2 linked regions of the Macaca fascicularis genome follow. The protein of the gene in region 1 interacts with the protein of each later gene in a biochemical or structural test. Links are inferred from orthologs where the notes say so. Each region holds a gene or a part of one and is shown on either strand. Other genes may lie near its edges.

What was found. The genes of interacting proteins can lie anywhere in the genome.
Region 2: the proteins of CHM (region 1) and RAB7A are reported together in a solved structure, tested with the Homo sapiens proteins (2 studies listed by BioGRID, with this or other methods). The link is inferred for Macaca fascicularis from reciprocal best matches to the Homo sapiens genes CHM and RAB7A.

The regions. Positions count from the first base shown.
Region 1 is NC_088395.1:92,472,151-92,475,662, reverse strand, and holds part of CHM (rab proteins geranylgeranyltransferase component A 1), read left to right. Parts: intron 1-2,538; coding exon 2,539-2,713; coding exon of another isoform or gene 2,714-2,730; 3' UTR 2,731-3,512. UniProt on the Homo sapiens protein: Substrate-binding subunit of the Rab geranylgeranyltransferase (GGTase) complex.
Region 2 is NC_088376.1:154,624,619-154,628,272, reverse strand, and holds part of RAB7A (ras-related protein Rab-7a), read left to right. Parts: intron 1-1,628; coding exon 1,629-1,755; intron 1,756-3,654.

The DNA of each region.
Region 1 (3,512 bases):
AGGCCTAAGGAAATGTAAAATCATGGTGGAAGGCAAAGGGGAAGCAAGGCATGTCTTACATGGTGGCAGGAGAGAGAAAGCGAAGAGGGAACTGCCAAACACTTTTAAACCATCAGATCTTGTGAGAAGTCACTATCACGAGAACAGCATGGGGAAAACTGCCCCCATAATCCATTCACCTCCCACCAGTCCCTCCGTAATACTTGTGGATTACAATTGCAAATGAGATTCGGGTGGGGACACAGAGCCAAACCATATCATTCTGCCCCTGACCCTCCCCAAGTCTCATGTCCTTTTCACATTTCAAAACCAATCATCCCTTCCCAACAGCCCTCCAAAGTCTTAAAACTCATTCCAGCATTAACTCAAAAGTCTATGTCCAAAGTCTCATCTGAGACAAGTCAAGTCCCTTCCCCCTATGAACCTGTAAAATCAAAAGCAAGTTAGTTACTTCCAAGATACAATGGAGTATAGGCATTGGGTAAATGTCCCCATTCCAAATGGGAGAAATTGGACAAAACAAGGGGGCCATAGGCCCCATGCAAGTCCAAAACCCGGCCAGGCAGTCATTAAATCTTAAAGCTCCAAAATCTCCTTTGACTCCAAGTCTCACATCCAGGCCATGCTGATACAAGGGCTAGATGCCCACAGCCTTGGGCAGTTCCAACCCTGTGGCTCTGCAGGGCATAGGCACTGTGCCTGCTTTCACAGGCTGGCATTAAGTGCCTGTGACTTTTCCAGGTGCATGGGGCAAGCTGTCAGTGGATCTACCATTCTGGGGTCTAGAGGACAGTGGCCATCTTCTTACAGCTCCACTAAACAGTTCCCTAGTGGTGACTCTTTGTGGGGGCTCCAAGCCCACATTTCCCTTCAGCACTGCCCTAGCAGAAGTTCTCCATGAGGGCTCTACCCCTGCAGCAGACTTCTGCCTGGCCATCTAGGCGTTTCCTAACATCCTCTGAAATCTCTGCAGAGGCTCCCAAACTTCAGCTCTTGTCTTTTGTGCACCCTCAGGCCCAACATCACATGGAAGCTGGCAACACTTGGGGCTTGCACCCTCTGAAGCAACAGCTCAAGCTGTACCTTTATTCCTTTTAGCCATGGCTGGAGCTGGAGCAGCTGGGATGTAGGCTATCATGTTCCAGGGCTGCACAGAGCAGTGGGGCCCACCCAGCCCACAAAACCGTTTTTCCCTCCTAGGGAAGATCTCTGACATGCCCTGGAGACATTTTCCCCATTGTCTTGTCTATTGACATTTAGCTCATCATTGCTTATGCAAATTGCTGTAGCCAGCATGAATTCCTCCCCAGAAAATGGGTTTTTATTTTCTCCCACGTGGTCAGGCTGCAAATTTTCCAAACCTTCATGCTCTGCTTCCCTTTTAAACGTAAGTTCCAATATCAGACCATCTCTTTGTGAACACACATGACTGAGTGCTTTCAGAAGCAGCCCGGTCACCTCTTGAATGCTTTGCTGCTTAGAAATTTCTTCTGCCACATATCCTAAATCATCTTTCTTAACTTCAAAGTTTCACAGATCTCTAGGGTGGGGACAAAATGCCACTAGTCTCTTCGCTAAAGCATAGCAAGAGTCACCTTTGCTCCAGTTCCCAGTAAGTTCCTCATCTCCATCTGAGGCCACCTCAGCCTGGACATCATTGTCCATATCACTATCAGCATTTTGGCCAAAACCATTCAACAAGTCTCTAGAAAGTTCCAAATTTTCCCACATTTACCTTTCTTCTTCTGAGCCCTCCAAACGATTCTAACTTCTGCCTGTTACACAATTCCAAAGTCACTTCCACATTTTCAGGTTATCTTTTAGCAGTACCCCACTCCTGGTACCAATTCTGTGTTAGTGTCTCTTACACTGCCGTAAAGATACTACCTGAGACTAGGTAATTTGTAAACAAAAAAGGTTTAATTAACTCACAAGATCACATGGCTGGGAAGGCCTCAGGAGAGTTATAATCATGTCAGAGGGTGAAGGGGAAGCAAGGCACATCTTACTTGCTGGCAGGAGAAAGAGAAAAGGGGGAACTGCTAAATACTTTTAAACCATCAGATCTTGTGAGAATTCACTATCACAAGAACAACATGGGAACAGTCACCCCCATAATCTAATCGCCCCCTAACATGTGGGGATAATAATTTGAGATGAGATTTGGGGGGGGGACTCAGAACCAAACCATATCAAGTCTCTATGAGATATCATATAAGCAATATTAAGGCAATTGTATTTCTTTCGATATGTAGAATGAATGTGTTTCAGTTCTCAACAATCTGAACACTTGATAATGAACCTGATGAGATACTACCGTCCTTGAAGTGTTGACCTGAATACATGTATAGAATTAAAGGGAGAAGTCACAGAATTCTGAAAACAGACTTATAGAAGTTCATGTATTCTGATAAAGTACTATAACCTGCTTAAGGAAAATTTTAAGGATAACACTTAATTGTTTTTAGTTAATGCCAGAAATGCACACAGATTTTAAACCGATTTCCAAAAATGATTTATCTTTTCTTCCTTGGCCAGGCTGAAACACTTTTCCAGGAAATCTGCCCCAGTGAAGATTTCTGTCCCCCTCCACCAAATCCTGAAGACATTGTCCTTGATGGAGACGGTTTACAGCCAGAGGCTTCAGAATCCAGTGCCATACCAGAGGCTAACTCAGAGACTTTCAAGGAAAGCACAAACCTTGGAAACCTAGAGGAGTCCTCTGAATAATGGATATACACCGAACTGGATACCCAACTTTGGAAATTTCTACTGGTCTCAGAGTCTACTTGATAGAAGGACTGTTTGAAAAATGTTAGAAAGCAACAGCAATTATAAGGCAAAATAGGTAATAGAAATCCAAAAGGGGATTTTCCTTATAGAGGACGTTACAAGAACACACAACACTTACAAAGCACATTGACTTGCTCATTTTGAATACCAAACTTGTGTGACTAGCAGATGAAAATTATAAATCAATTGATTCTCAGGAATGTAACTGTGGATATGAAAGTGATCCTATGCATTGTTAATAATTCCGTGGTCTTAGGACAATTTTGCTTACCACTATGGATCTTTGTTTGAAAGCCACATTTTCAGAACCAGCTCACATATTTTCTTTGGTTATTTGAATTATATTTTCTTTATGGACAAGAGCATCATAACATAATGATAAAAACATATAGAAAAACTAAAGTATCATGATCTAGATAGAAGCCTGTATTTAGAATACAGGTTTGTTTTGTTTTGTTTTGCTTTCTATGTTGAGAAGCATTGAAAATGCTAATACAAAGGTGTTTAGACATTGTTAAGAACAAGTCAGTAGTGTTTTTTAGTATCAGTAGTGATATTTGTTTGTAAATTATTTACATATTGGGAAAGGTCAATAATGAAGAAGTGAAAGAATGGAAGGAAATGTGTGGATAGGCTCATTGATATTTGGATGTTCTGTCTGTCAAATAACTAGAGTATTAGGCTAATTGTCTACAGACCTAATTTAATCCTGGCTGTCC
Region 2 (3,654 bases), on another chromosome or scaffold:
TTCTATCTTGACTGGCTTATCTGAATCACCTGAAGAACCTTTTTTTGTATGCGTGTGAGAGACAGGGTCTCGCCCTGTTGCCCAGACTAGAGTGAATGGTGCAATCACAGCTCACTGCAGCCTCAACCTCCTGGGCTCAAGTGATCCTCCCACCTCAGCCTCCAGAGTAGCTGGGACCACAAGTATGTTCTACCACTCCTGGTTAAATTTTTGTATTTTTTGTAGAGACAGAGTTTCGCCATGTTGCCCAGGCTGGTCTCAAACTCCTGCGCTCAAGCAATCCACTCGTCTCGACCTCCCAAAGTGCTGGGATTACAGGCTTGAGCCACAATGCCCAGCCTTTGAAGAACCTTTTATTCGCTAGCATTTGTCCAGCCCCAGACCAGTGGGCTAGGGCCTAAATTTGTGCTGTCTTTCCTACCCCGCAACTCCATCCCTGTCGGGATGGAAAGATAGTGCTTTTAGGCCTGCCTTACCCAAATGTGTGCAAAAAGTCTCACCGAGCCCTCATTTGATTCCAGGTTTTGCCACCTCTCCCCTTGGAGATTCTGGCTCAGGTGGTCTGGATTGGAAAACACTGCCTTAGGCTGTCTGGGTACCTCTAGGTTCTTTAACACAAATATGAACATGTTCCTTTGTGGCAAAGGAAGGTGATATCACTGGGTATTTGGAAGGTTTTTGCATTATCTTTAGGTTGCCTTAACCTCATCACACAAAAATCACACTTTGTCTCTTGCTGAGTTTTCTTACTGGAAAACATATTTGGAGGAGTATTCTTTGAAGTATATTTGGTTTGGTGATATATTGGTGCTTTTTCTGCTTCAGATTTTAAACTTTAAAGCAGCAAATTGTCTGAGTGGTATATGTCTGCTCAAAGCCAAGGTCTTCCTCCTGGTGTTACTTCATCAAGCTAAAGAGCAGCCACTAAATGGAGAAACATCTAAGATAGCAGGGATACTGTTGGAATAGCAGAGCACTCTTATTAGTGAAGCTTCTTTAGAAGGAGTATATGGCCGGGCGCGGTGGCTCAAGCCTGTAATCCCAGCACTTTGGGAGGCCGAGGCGGGTGGATCACGTGGTCAGGAGATCGAGACTATCCTGGCTAACATGGTGAAACCCCGTCTCTACTAAAAATACAAAAAACTAGCCGGGTGTGGTGGCAGGCGCCTGTAGTCTCAGCTACTTGGGAGGCTGAGGCGGGAGAATGGCGTGAACCCGGGAGGCGGAGCTTGCAGTGAGCCAAGATCACGCCACTGCACCCCAGCCTGGGAGACACAGCGAGACTCCGTCTCAAAAAAAAAAAAAAAAAAAAAAAAGGAGTATATTTGCTGGCATCCTTCTAGAATGGGAAAAATAATACTAGGCTTTACCATTTGACCTGATTGTACCAAAACATGTAAGCAGCTTTTCCACATCTGCCCCACATCTGTACCTTGTATTTTTACCCAGAGAGAAAGCACAAAACTTCAAAAGTGTAATGCTGGGAAGGCTACTGGCATTGCCCTTTGCTGTGAGAGCAGTTTCTTGTCCTTCAGGTCAGGCAGATTCTTTCAAATGCTTCAAGTAATTCATGTCAGTTTCAGGACCTTCCTATTTGACTTATGCTTGTGGTTTTTCTCCAATTTCAGAGTCGGGAAGACATCACTCATGAACCAGTATGTGAATAAGAAATTCAGCAATCAGTACAAAGCCACAATAGGAGCTGACTTTCTGACCAAGGAGGTGATGGTGGATGACAGACTAGTCACAATGCAGGTAAGCATATGTCTTGGCTGTGCTAACCAGGCCTTGATAGTTCCTTTAGTCTTAATCTTTCCTCATGCATAGACATTTTTCTTCCCTGTTCTTCAAATCTTATTATCCTGTTTGTAGATAATTGGCTGATACTCAGTTAAATTTGAATTTCAGATCAATAGTGAATACTTTTTTGGTATACTTCTTGTATATCTCAGATACAACTTGCTAAGACACACTAAAATTTCTTCTTTTTTTAAAAAAAACTCAGATTTATCCTTTCTTGTTTTTTGTTGTTTTTGGTCTTGTTTGCTAAATTTGGCAACCTGCAGGTCTCTATCTTGTGTTTCTCTTGACGTTCTTGCCCAGTGCTTTAGGTAAACATATTTGTCTCACCTCAGTAGTGAGACATGAAGTTTCTTTATTTTTTTGACTTTCTATTTCATATGTAACTTCAAGAGTTGTGTGTCTATTGAGCCAATCTGTTTTTTTTTTATGTATCAGCTTATTAATCTTTCAAGGGTTTCCCTTTCAACAGTTAGGATAAGATGTAGATTCTTTCATGTGACTTGTTGAAAAGCCTTCACATTCTGGCTATAAACTGTTACTCCCTTTTTTTTTCCCCTTTGAGTCATTTTGTTTGTATACATGTATTATATCCCTAGAAAAGAACCCCTGAAGGGTGGATACCTTGAGCCCAGGAGTTCGAGCCTGCAGTAAACTGTGACTGCTCCATTATACTCCAGCCTGGGTGATGGAGTGAGACCCTGTCACTAAATTAAAAAAATAAAAGAATCCCATGATTTTCCCTCCTGTATTTTCATCTCTTTATTCATGGTCCGTGATGCCAGCTGAGGTTGTCAGTACAACCTGACTTTGAAACCAAACTATTGGGATAGGAGTAGATTATTCTGTCACTTTTCTAGATCTTTGAGTTGCACATCAAATCTGGGGCCATTCATTCCAGTTTTAACCTGCCTGTGAGGTTCACAGTAATTTTCCCAGCTCTGTGATCACCGATGATTTCAATTTTTCAATGTGATCATGTTTCGTTTCACACTTAGAACCAGATGATGACTTGGGAGCACAGCCTAATAAGTACCTGGTGTTTGCCTTTGAGAGCATCAACCAAGACATTCATGCACACCATTATGGAGGCAAGGAAAGATGGTAGAAATAGCTGCTACTCACTTTTTTTTGTCTCCTTCCAGTCCTTCTGAATCATGTGCTGCTCTTACAGACTTGTGTTGGTGGATATGTCTCTGCTTCCAGCAGGGCCTGTATACCCACCGGAAGTCTCCAACTTTTCGCTCAGATCTTTTGAAACTTCTATCTCTGTGGCAGATGTTCTTTCCTACATGCTTCTAGAGGCAAATTCCAATCCCATTGTAGTCCTAGCAAGTACCTGGCAGATAGTGGGGGCTCGCTGAAATGTGTGAATGATGTAGGTTAAAGGTAGAAGTTTGTACATGTGTTGACCTCGAGCTGTGGCATGCTCCTAGAGGATCAGGACTCTTAATTGACTGACACTTCTAGGACAGAGCTAGTATGAATCTCTCATCCTCACCTTACCTATACACATACACCTAGAGATCTTCAAAATGTAACTGCAGTTTAAGCAAGTCAAGCTTGAGAGTAGAACTGGAAAACCTTGGCCCAAGGAATTGGCAAAACTTGTGTCTGCAGTTGTTGGAGAATCTCAGTCCCACTATCCACATGTACAGAAATCTTTGTCTCAAAGAATTTAACATAAATCTCTGTCAATCCTGGCAAAAACAAGGGTAAGACTACTCTGTAGGGACATTTACTACTGTAGGAGAGAAGATGAATTCATAACCACATGAGGAAATAATGTACCACAAGAGATGTTCACAATGACTAGAGATGTTCTAAAAAGAAATAGAAACCATAATGGAAAGG